Neurospora crassa OR74A: one gene and its partners. The protein of the gene in region 1 purifies or fractionates together with the protein of each later gene. This does not show direct contact. Links are inferred from orthologs where the notes say so. Each region holds a gene or a part of one and is shown on either strand. Other genes may lie near its edges.

The links. The genes of interacting proteins can lie anywhere in the genome.
Region 2: the proteins of NCU00232 (region 1) and NCU02786 purify together in Saccharomyces cerevisiae (affinity purification with mass spectrometry; 3 studies listed by BioGRID, with this or other methods). This does not show direct contact. The link is inferred for Neurospora crassa OR74A from reciprocal best matches to the Saccharomyces cerevisiae genes TRZ1 and YMR099C.
Region 3: the proteins of NCU00232 (region 1) and NCU00030 purify together in Saccharomyces cerevisiae (affinity purification with mass spectrometry; 6 studies listed by BioGRID, with this or other methods). This does not show direct contact. The link is inferred for Neurospora crassa OR74A from reciprocal best matches to the Saccharomyces cerevisiae genes TRZ1 and NUC1.

The regions. Positions count from the first base shown.
Region 1 is NC_026503.1:3,102,041-3,106,137, forward strand, and holds the start of NCU00232 (hypothetical protein), read right to left. Parts: upstream 2,801-4,097; 5' UTR 2,638-2,800; coding exon 1-2,637. Other genes in the region: NCU00233 (glycoside hydrolase), read left to right, coding at 3,374-4,097. UniProt on the Saccharomyces cerevisiae protein: Zinc phosphodiesterase, which displays some tRNA 3'-processing endonuclease activity. Probably involved in tRNA maturation, by removing a 3'-trailer from precursor tRNA.
Region 2 is NC_026501.1:9,199,311-9,203,246, forward strand, and holds NCU02786 (hypothetical protein), read right to left. Parts: upstream 2,589-3,936; 5' UTR 2,116-2,588; coding exon 1,858-2,115; intron 1,759-1,857; coding exon 1,378-1,758; intron 1,315-1,377; coding exon 910-1,314; 3' UTR 501-909; downstream 1-500. Other genes in the region: NCU02787 (hypothetical protein), read left to right, coding at 1-23; aro-8 (phospho-2-dehydro-3-deoxyheptonate aldolase), read right to left, coding at 3,162-3,936. UniProt on the Saccharomyces cerevisiae protein: Catalyzes the interconversion between the alpha and beta anomers from at least three hexose 6-phosphate sugars (Glc6P, Gal6P, and Man6P).
Region 3 is NC_026503.1:2,346,232-2,349,682, reverse strand, and holds NCU00030 (mitochondrial nuclease), read right to left. Parts: upstream 2,224-3,451; 5' UTR 1,869-2,223; coding exon 870-1,868; 3' UTR 501-869; downstream 1-500. UniProt on the Saccharomyces cerevisiae protein: This enzyme has both RNase and DNase activity.

The DNA of each region.
Region 1 (4,097 bases):
GGTGAGGAATTTGATGTTGGCCCAGTCGAGAGGCTCGACGTCTTTGTACTCGTGCAGGAAGCCGATGTACTTTGTTGTGGAGATGATAGTGAGCGGTTTGGGGGCCTCGTCGGCGGGGAGAGCGGCGTTGGCGGCGGCGCGGCGGGCGAGAACGGAGGGAACACCGAGGTGGTGGTCGGCGTGCAAGTGAGAGATGTAGATGGCGCGCAGATCGCGGAGGATGGCGTCGGTTTCGGCGTAGCCGTACACGCGCCGGAGCTGGCCGAGGGTGTTCTCGCCGCAGTCGAACAGATAGCTGCCGTAGCCGGGGACGCGGATGAGCGTGGCTGAGACGTTGCGGTACTTGGAGGGAAGGGCGGACCCGGTGCCGAGAGTGACGATTTCGGCGTCCCGGTTGGGAATGTCTTGCTCGGACTCGGCGACGCGGGCGGCGAAAGCAGGGTCGGATACCTTCGTTTGCGCTTCGAGCGCCAGGTTGAAGGCTTTGGCGTGGGTGGAAGTGAGCTCCTTGATCGGCTTGATGGTGTCCATGACAGCGTTGGCGAACTGGCGCTGAAATTCGACCGAAGGAGAGAGGAGTAGTCTTTCGCCGGGCTTGCCTAGCTGAGCAACAGATGCCAAGCCCGCTGGTAAGGCTTCTTCCTGGTTGTTGTGGTTGGGAATGGAGAAGCGGTCGGGATCCATCCGATGCATCATGATAGCCTTCCCAGACGCGCCCCCGAATGAGATGGTGTTGGGGTTCATTCCCTCACCGAGAACAACGTGTTTGAAGGAGCTGTGCTTCGCCATGAAATCCTTCAGGCGGGAATCATCCTTGACCTCTGGGCTAAGGATCCAGTAGAAGGCATCGATATGCTCCATGATCTCCTTGTTCTCCCACTCGGGCCTCTTGAGGAGGCTATCGAGGAGATACTCGTAGCGGACATCAACTAGAGCAAAACCGTGGCCGGGAATAGGAGGGTCCAAAACCATATCGGGGGTAACAACAGTTCCATCCTCTGCCGTCACGCTCTCGCCCTTTGCCAGCTTGCTGAATGTCCACTTGGGTAGCCCGTATTTGAGAGCGTTCGCAGGCTGGAACTTGCCTCGACGAGCATGATTCTTAACGATGTAGCATGTGGAATCGAAGCAAGGGTCCGTGGGTGGCAACCGGTGGACAAGCGCACCAGGCCAAGGCTCCCTCACAAGCACCCTGATATCAGGAACGTTCGCGTCCCTCCCCGGCAATGGGCCCTTGTACACTGTGATCTTGCCTTCATCGTCGCGGACAAAGATCTTGGCCGGCAGCTTGACCTTGTGTAGAGGCTGTTCTACAAGAGTGTCGGCCTTCCAGTCTGAGTCGAACATGTGCTTAATAACCGTCTGCATGAGAAGGTGGGTCTTCTCGTCATCCTCCACTCCCGCCGGCACATCTTCCACAACCTCTCCGTCCTCTCCCTCTACCAGAGTGTCCATGACCTCGGGCTCCTCCGAAGAGTTCAGTTTCCGCTTCCGCGGGTTCTGCGAGCCGGTACTGCTGCTACGCGACCGGCTCTCCATGCCTGTGGCAACAAGAGGGATCTTCCAGACCTTGAGGTTTTCATCCTCGTAGTCAGGCTTGCTGTTCTCGGGGTTTGCGGCCCTGGGATCGGCGCGGAGCTCATGGGCATCGAGTGGGAAGCCCTTGCGGAACACGAATCGTCTGGCAGCAGCCAGCATGTGCTCAAGGTTCTTGGAGCCGTGAATCTCGATACGCTGAGGACCGCCATGGGTAATTTCTGGCTTGTTCTTCTGACGACGCAGCTTGTTCTCTTCCTCAACTGCAGTCTTTGCGCTTATGATGACATCGGCAACGGTCAAAATCATGCCCAGTAGGCCGCCTGTCGTTGCCCAGTCCGTCTTGCCAGAGAGGAAGATGTGCGACAGCTTTGCGGCGGGAATTTTGTTTTCGGTGAAGAGGCGCTGCGTGCCTTCGGAGAGGTGGCCGAAAAGGTAACGGCGGTTGTCATAGTGGACGAGGAGGCATGCGCCTGGGGTGTCGGCCGTCGGGGCGGCGACGATCTGGACGTGGCTGCGCATGGCGCCGAACTCGGGTTTTGCAGGTAGTGGAGGAGCTTCCTTCTGTTCTGGAGCAGGAGAAGCAAGGATAAAACGAGGTCCGTCAACCTGATAAGGGTAGAGCTTGATAGGGATGCGGCCGCTAAAGAAGTCCTCGGGGATCTTGGTGTGCTTCAGAAGGCCGTGATTCTTCCACTTTTGAAAGGCCCGTTGCGGCGAGAAGAGACTGTATTCGGCGAAGAGGTATCTGTTGCGAAGGAGTTCTCTAGCGACTGTCTTCGAGACCGAGTCTGGGATCTTGGACTTGGGAGGCCGATCTTTGCTCGGAGGCTTGACGGCGAGGCGAGGAGTGGGCTTCGCTGGGCGAAGATTCCGGAACGGAGTGGTTCTAGGTTTCGAGACAGAGTCTGGCACCCGACGTATTCTTGAGCTAGTGAACACCGAGGGATCTACCGACGATTCTGGAGATCGTGTAAAATCTCTTGTGGAAAGACAACGTCTAAGCGATAGGAACGAGGATGTGGTGGTAGAGATTCGAGTCGGCAGCACGGTTCTTATCCTCTTTGATGCGGCAGCGACTGCTAGCTTCTTGTAATGCATGGACGAATAAGTGTTTTTTTTATGCAGTCATTTCCTCTGACCTGGGCATGTCGAGAGGGTCTCGTCGAGTGGGAAATGTAGAAAAAAGAGTTGTGTCACCCGGCGCGTGGAGGAGTCAATCGGCGTCGCGGGAACTTTTTTTGGTTTTCAAGAGTGAAAGTTGACGTCGCGAATCGGGGCAACTTTTTCTGCCTGCCCGATGGAGCCACTGCACTGCTTATAGTTCAGCGCCACCGCGGGGAGTTTACAGGGGAGTGGTCCAGTACGTCAGGGCTCGAGCGGGAGGGGTGGAAGTTCAGGGTAGGTAGGTGAGCGGCTTCAATCGGCAGGGTTAGGGTTCGCTGTCAAAGCAAGAAAGGGGGTTGAATACATGTGACGAGAAGGTATACACAGTTCATTAACTATCACCTGTATAGTACGCTTTCTCCCAAATATTCCCCATTTACTTGTATGTATCCGACGCATACCCTCGCATGGTTGTGAGTTTAGTCTGAGGCCGAGATAGCTGCAACGCTGATCATATGTATCCGACGCATACCCTCGCATGGTTGTGAGTTTAGTCTGAGGCCGAGATAGCTGCAACGCTGATCACGGTAATATATATGAATGGTGGAATATAGGTATAAATCATCCGTGTTATGTTCCATCCTATAATGGATCCGTTTATATAGTACCACCCTCAACAGTATTGTGAGTGTCGAAGGAAGTCCTGGTTGTCAAGTTAAAAGAAGGAGTAATGGCAACAGAATTCAGCCGAACTGAATCAGTCCTTACCAACTCGATCAACCCTCCAGAAACACCAACTTTCATCAAGGAACCCGCCAACATGAGGAGGTCCTTCCAACAACCCCTTCCCCTTCTCCTCCAAACCATCACCATCCTCTGCCTCTTCCCATCTACCCTCGCCTCATCCAAGACCCTCCTAATCCCTTCCACATCCTTCAACTCCACCACCACCTTCAACACCTACTGGTCCTTCAATTACCCCTGGGGCACCGACCACAATGGCGCCGCGCGCATGTCCCCTTCCCAAGTCTCCATAGCCCCCTCTGCTGACGGCACCTCAAGCACCCTCACTCTAACCGCCCACCGCGTCACCGGCCAAAAACCCGCTACCCACGGCGGCAAACAGATCCCCATCAAGTACCTATCCGGCGCCATCCACGCCAAGCAGCACTTCACCATTACTTCTTCTTCTTCTGGTGCTGGTGCAGTGTCAGGCTACGATTTCTCAGCCGAGTTCCGCGCCCCCGTTGCGAAGGGGACCTGGCCTGCGTTTTGGTTGACGGCCGTCAATGGGTGGCCGCCCGAGATTGATATGGCGGAGTGGAAGGGGAGCGGCAAGATTAGCTTTAACACGTTCAATACTAGTAGTCAGGTCATGGCTCGGGATGTGGTTTATGGCCCGAACGGGAGTGAGAAGGAGTGGCATAGGGTTGTGTGTGAGATCAGGAGGGATG
Region 2 (3,936 bases), on another chromosome or scaffold:
GTTCAGGTTCGAGGGGTAGCTGAGCTACTGCCGAGCGGCGGCCATATTCAGGGGAACAAAATGAAGAGAGAAAAAAAAAAAAAAAAAAAAAAAAAAAAAAAAAGAAAAGAAGCAAATCCCTAAATGCAGACAGAAGAAGAAGAAGAAGATGGATGGATGGATGGATACGGGGGGGGTGGTGAGGGGTTATGGGTAATGGATGGAAACTAAGCAAGGCAAAGGGGGGAGGGAGAAGGGACGTTGTAACTGCCTCGCTGGGTAGCCAGTACCATAGCCCGGAACAAGGACGCTTGACAGCTTGGCGATTTGAGAAGGGCGAGCAAGATGAAGGGAAAGTTGTAAGATAGTCAGTCATATTGTATAAGCAAATAGACAGACAGGATCATCGTGGCATGTGGCATTTGTAGGAATTGGGATGTTCCGGGCGTCTGGGATATTGGGTTATAGCATAGCATAGCATAGCATAGCATAGCATAGCATAGCATAGCGGAAGTTTTTAGGTTCATGTCAGCGCTGCATTTCTTTATATAACTGATTAGGAACATAAAGAGCAGGTTAAGCCAGTGTAGTGAAAATGGTGGCTATATTGATGTAAGCCTCTCTCAGTCATTGCCATCACTCTTCACGTCCTTCACTTCCTATACATGAGCTCTTGTCCAGCTACTATAGTCATTGCCGTCTGTCTGTCTGTCTATCTATCCAGCAAAACTGGCCGCCCCCACAGCTACAATACTATCTCACCTTCTGCCACATATCCACTGTCATCACTTATCATCATTCATGTACATCCTCCGTTTCCTCCCTTAATCCAATTACCACTTCCATCCCCTTGCCTTGATGTCATAACCTCCCCTTCATCCCTTCTCTAACCCACTTTGCCCTCCGCACCCGCACCCACGCATCCTGGGTTCAATTCTGTGTCTTCCCACCCAAAACAATCGTCTGCGCCCCCTCAAACGCATCGCCCGGCTCCAACACCTGCCACGTAGCCACCGCCCCCGGTTCCACGCACAACATGTTCTTGTACCCGTCCTTGGGCTCAAAGTCCGCCATACCTTGCGCCTTTTCAATCCAGGGGTTCCAAACCACCACGTTGGCGAGGTTGTCCCGCAGAACAGTGTACTTGGGTTGGTCACCTTCGAAAACGGTGATGGGGATGGACGCGGGGTCGTCGCCGGCGGGGGTGTAGACGCGGTCGGTCTCGGAGGAGATGGTTAGCGCCGAGGTGGTTTGCGTGCTGGTGGAAATGGGGGAGGTGGTCTTGTCGACGTAGGAGGCGTTTTCGAGGCCGTGGATGGAGACGGAGGTGATGTCCTGTTTTTTTTTGTCCGTTAGTTGGAGGAAGGAAGGAAGGAGGGGAGAGAAAGGGGGACATACGTTAACTCTGAGATAGGTATGCATCAACATCTGACACTCCCAACTCCTCTCATCGTCATTGGTAATGACCAAGTTGGTCGTCAGGCTATCCGTGTTCAGCGTCACGCTGTAAATCGCATTGAACGCATACGGCCACTTTGCCCTGGCGTCCTCGCTCAAGCCCGAAGAGCTCAGTCCAAAGTCCAACTTGACAGATAAATCCGCCGCCGCAGCCGCCACCGCTCCGGCAGCGCTGGTGGCCGTCGCAGCAAAGGCCGGGGTGGTGGGAGTGGGCGTCGATTCCGAAGTGGACTTGCCCAGGAACTCCCACCGCGACGAGCGGGCGAAGCCGTGCTGGGGGAGATCCTTGGTCTGAGCATGGTCGGGGGCTGTTCCGAAGACCTGTTATTTCCGTTTCTCGTCAGCATAATGTCCTCTTTCCTTTTTCCTTCCTTCCTTCCCTCCTTTGAAATAAATGACCAAGGGCGGCGGACAACATACCGGGAAAACCAAGGGAATACCGCCCCTCACAGGCTTACTTCCATCCAACTTGGCCGCCTCGCTCAACCACAGCTTCTCATGGCCGTTCTTGTCCTTCCAGCTGACGACGGTGGCGCCGTAAAGCAGGACCGAGACGCTCTCGCCGGTCGGAAGAGTGGCGGTCACACGAGAGTTGTCCGACGAGAAGGCGACTTGGGGTTGCGGGGGGAGGCCGGGGGTGGAGGCCAGGGCGGAGGGCTTACGGCCACGGTCGACCATCGTTGCGGTTGGTATGGGTTGTTTGGGTTGTTGGTCGGGGAGAGTTGTTGGGGTTTGCGATGGACGTCGAAGGGTATTGGAATAGAGTTGGAACCGGAAGTGGAAGAGGGGTAACGAGGTCGGCCAAACAAAACGAGAATGACCAACTCGCTACGCAAGTAAAGATAGATAAGCTATAAGTCTGCTGGAAGCCGGCTCTAAGCAAAGTGGAAAGCTTGGTCAGTTCGAGTCGGATGTTTCAAGTTGATCGGACGGAAGATCAAAAAGAGGGGAACCCTTCTGGTATGTACACAGAAGAGGGGCAAACCACCTAAGTACTACTCACTCTACCTGAGACGCGGGATACAATACAGCCCAATGACAGAGTGCTAGTGTAAGATTGAAGAAATGGTCGACAAGTTCGTTGGTGGTTGGGATGAAGAAGCCAATGATACAAGACAGCGGGGTAAATGATCCATCCCCCTTCTCTCGCCAGTAAGTAGCTTGTTGCATGACCTGAAACATGCCCTGTGCAGTGACCAACCGACCAAAGCTGCTGGAGCCCGACGACGGACGGTGTACTGTAGGTACGTCACTGTGCTCACGATACGTCTCCTTGACTACCCTGTACTTTACCTGGGCTTCGAGTTTCCAAAACACGCTGCGTTCACAAACCACCACACTTTTGAAGATGAATTTGAAGATGAATAAGACGCTATAGCACTTTTGAATTTTGAGAAACCCTATTTTCACCACAAAACTATACACCCTTTTACTACACAATATCTATATCGCGACCACGGGCCATCTCCCGTCGTGGCATGCCAGCCGCTTCCAACCTTGGCCTGTCATGAAAAAAGAGTTTCCGAAGCAGCAGTCCCGCCACATCCAGTACCACCACCTGCACTAGGTGTAGTAGCAGCCTCATTGGTATTCGCATCCTATTTTGTATTTGCTGCCCCATTCGCTGTAGCAGCCCCAATAGTTGTAGCACTTCCTCCACTAGTAGCCTCAGTACCTAGTTTCTTCATCTGCCAGCTCCTCCACATCCTCAAGCAAGCAGCCCTCTAAACCACCGAGGACTTTCTCCTTTCAGCCTCCTTCTCCTTCCTCTCCTGCCTATAATGATCCGCCACCAAGAAGGCCAACTCCAGCGCCTGCTTCTCGTTCAACCGCGGATCGCAGAAGCTCGTATAGTTAGTACTCAAGTCATCCTCATCCAGTCCTGCACCGCCTCCCAAGCACTCCGTCACCGCGTCACCCGTCAATTCCAGATGCATGCCGCCCAGGTACGACTTCTCTTCCTTGTGGATGCGTAGTGTCTGCTGAAGCTCCGAGAAGATGTCGCTGAACTTGCGCGTCTTGATGCCGCCGCTAACCGATTGTGTGTTGCCGTGCATGGGATCGCACTGCCAGACCACGGTGCGGGCGTACTCCGAGCTTTCGACGGTGCGGATGTGCGCAGGCAGGAGAGAGGCCACCTTGTCGGCGCCGTAGCGCGTAATGAGCGTAACCTTGCCGGGTTCGCGGTTGGGGTTTAGAGTGCGCAGCATAGGCAGCAAGTCCGAAGTAGGTGTCGAGGGACCAATCTTGACACCAATGGGGTTGGCGATGCCGCGGAAGTATTCGACGTGCGCGTGGTCGATTTGGCGCGTGCGGTCGCCGATCCACAAGAAGTGAGCCGACGTGTTGTAGTATTCTTTCTTGGGGGGCGTGGTAGAGTCGGGAGGGTAGGAGCGGACCGAAGGGTGGTTGAGCAGGCGGGTGAGCGGTTCCTCGTACTCGAGAAGGAGACCCTCGTGCGAGGTGAAGAGCTCGACAGTCGACAGCTTCTCGTTTTGG
Region 3 (3,451 bases), about 760 kb from region 1:
TTGGGAATGGATGGATTCGTTGATCAGAGCGGTGTGAACGTATACCCAACCGAGACAAGATCAGATGAACAACATTTGGAAGGCGGGAACGATGAACAAAGGAAAGAGAGAAAGAGAGAAAGGGATTACGATCGTTTCGCGACTGTGTGTGGGTTTAACTTCGAACTTCCTGTTTGGCTAGCTTGATGTTGTCGGGAAAGATAGGTACCTCGCCGGTGCTTGAGTGAGGAACCTTGATCAGATAGACAGACGACTTTGAGTTGCCTGGTGGGCATTGAATATATCACCATGGTTGCTACCCCCTAATCTGCTACTAAGGTTGGCTGTGGAGCTTTAAACCTCTTCCCTACGTTATGCACTGATATCATGCTTGGTTCACTGTACGGGCTGTGATCAAGGATGCCTTGGTGTCGATAAGTGCTTGCCTGGCGAATGGGCTTGCCGTCATATATCAGCTCGCGAAAATGAGCTCTGATTTGGAAGGCACACCGCAGGGCTAAAGGAGTAGAAGCGCACGTATGCCTGATGTCCATATGCAGTTGACCGACCAACACCTTTAACTGAACCCTGTCAAGTTCGACTTCGGACAGTGTTCCCTTTCCAATGGGGGTATAATCATAAAACGCTAAACTATGCTCATGTATGATGCTATGCACAACCCGCCTGTATGCAAGTACAAGCCTCACAGCGGCCTTCCCCGCTAGACTCCCATTTATCGACCTTATCCCCAACCTTCGTCACGGCAAGAAATCGAGGTGTACACAAGAGGTCATCTTGGGTGATACCGTCCTCGATACAACCATCATTTTTCTCTCTCTCTCTTTCTCTCTCTATTCTCCCCCCCTCCCCACAATACCTTTGTCATCCCCCTACTGCTTCTTACCAAACGACTTCTGCCTCTCGGCATAGTCCTTGACAATAAGGGAGCAGTTCGCCTCCGCACACAACCTCTTCCTCCTCTGTACCGGCAGCTTGCTCGCAAACTCGAGACCGCTCGCCCTCTCGACCGCCTCCAGGGGCACCTCAAAGTCCTGCAGCGGCTTATCGTTGGGGATCTTGGCGTTGGGCAACACGAAAGCTCCTAGCGCAACGTTTCCTCCCTTCTTGCCGTCCTCGGCAAAGATGACCTTGTAAAAGTGCGTCGGCACCGCCACGTTAGGGGGCTGCCCGATCATCTCGTACTTGACGTACCACTTGTTGTCGCTGGGGTCGCGCTTGGGCAGGTACAGAGGTCCGGTGACGATGCGGACGGAAGGGTACTGCTTCGTCAGGCGACGGCAGAAATCCTCAAAGTGCGCCCAGTAGTCGCGGTTGAAACCCTCGCCCACCTGCGGGCACATGTTGGACAGGTAAAAGGTGTCGTCCATGGCGGCTTGCGACCACTTGCAGTCGGCCGCGGGAACCTGGTGCCCGCGATCGAAGCCGGAGCGGAAGTAGTCCTTGAGCTTGCCGCGGAACTTTTCGGGGATCGCCTCGTCTTCGACGAAAGTAGACTTCTTGCGGTCGCCTTCGGACATGGACAGGGACTCGGGCGTGATGTGCTCCACCGTCCAGTGCGGGTTCTTGGTGCGGCGGTCGTACGAGGACACAAAGCCTTGGCGGGTCGCGAGATCAGCGACGGGGCCCGGGAAGCCGTACTCGAAGAAGGCCGAGGGGTCGACAGGTTTATAACCGCCGGCGAGAGCGGGCGCGCTGAAGACCTGGCTGGCGGGAACCGGACCAGGCTTGGAAGGGGCAGCGGGAACGGGAGCGTTCAGCGAGGTGGTGTCGACCTTCTTGTCGCTCTTGAGGGAGAGCATAGCGGCGGTGGCCGCGGCACCACCGGCGGCGCTCACGGCGGCAATGACGGCGATGGTAGCTTTCGACATGGTGACTAGCTGTCGTGGGGTTGCCCTGCTGGATAGACTGGATGGGCCTGCTTCCTGTCGGGGTGCGCGCAAGGGGTACTCTCCGCGGCTTTGAGGCGAGCGAGGTGCTGAGGAGATTCGGACAAGGGAAATTGCAATGGTGGAAAAGTTCCAAAGCTCAACTTAATAAAATTTCCCACGATCCGCGACCCGCGACTTGCGACTCGCGCCCCCGCGGCATCTCCAAGGGACACCCGAGGACCCAGTGACCCCGGCTCCCCCGAACGGTTGGTGACACGGCGACGGAGTGGGGAGGTCCCCACCGGGCAACTGGACGGTACCACATCACAAACACATGCACTTCATCTGATTCAGCTGGTGGGCAGAGACTTCGAGATAGAATGCTGTCCAGTCCCTTCGTTGCAACTGATATGGAGCATTTTGCCAACTGTTCCAACGCATTGACAGGTTGGTAGAGGTATGCAGTATAGGTATTTCAGTGCTCTTTTTCGATCTCGGAAACTCAGGGTCTCTTTGACTGAGCAACCCTGACTAGCCCATATGAGACCTGAGAAATATGCTAGACCAAACAGCATCTATAGATATCCATCAGAAAGCTGAATTGTTGAGACTCATGATGGACAATTGCTCATGACAGCTACCAAACAAAAAAGAGAAACAAAGTGGGCCGAGTCCAAATCGGGGATCTGTGGTCTACATATGGTAGGTACAAGGCCAAGAAGGAGACCTATGATGGCATCGATGATAAAGATCCTTGTTGCTTTCGCTGCTTCTTATCACGAACGGACGGTCCTTGTTAAAAAGCCTGCGTGAGCTGCAATTGTTCGCCTTCCCAACCTCAGCCTGGATATCTCGGTCCAAAATCAATCGACTTCTTCGACGTCAAAACCGGCAGTCCCTATCAACTTGCGGCACTGCAGTCGACACCCAGGCATCCAAGGCTGCAAGTTCCCTCCACATCCGCCCTGCATCTTGCATTGTCTTCGTTCTCCGCACTCGACGCCCCAGGCACCTGCACTCCATTGTACCTACCGACCGAAACAATACTTATCTGACCCATTGACTTCCATTCTTCCATCCAATCTGATCACCTGCTTACCTTCACGACGCCAACAGCCCATTCAGGGCCGGCTACCGTGTGCCAGCAAGGTCCTCAAAACTAGCGCACACTGCACTAGCGAAGTTTTCGATCTCCAAGCGCCGGTCCGGATCAACAATCTAACCCCAGGCCCCAAACCCGCCGCCCAAGAGCGGGCTCCAATTGATTGTCCTGTGTCTTATATTGTCTGGGCTGGGTGTGTGTGGCCGTTGAGGTTCTCAACCACGACGGGACCTGCTAGCTACCTAGATTCTCGCCTGCGTCTGATCTTGCCTCGCTGCCTTTTCCCATCCAAACACCATCTTGATCAAACTTGTGAGGCTCGCTCGTCCGTCTGACTCCTGTTGACGCCAAGGTCCCTTTTTGGTCATTCTTGACAAATATCGGACTATATTCAGGATTTCTACTGCAACAATTTGACCGTTCCCCGTTGCTACAAGTACAGTTATCGATCGCCGTCTCCCCTCCATGCCATACACGCCGT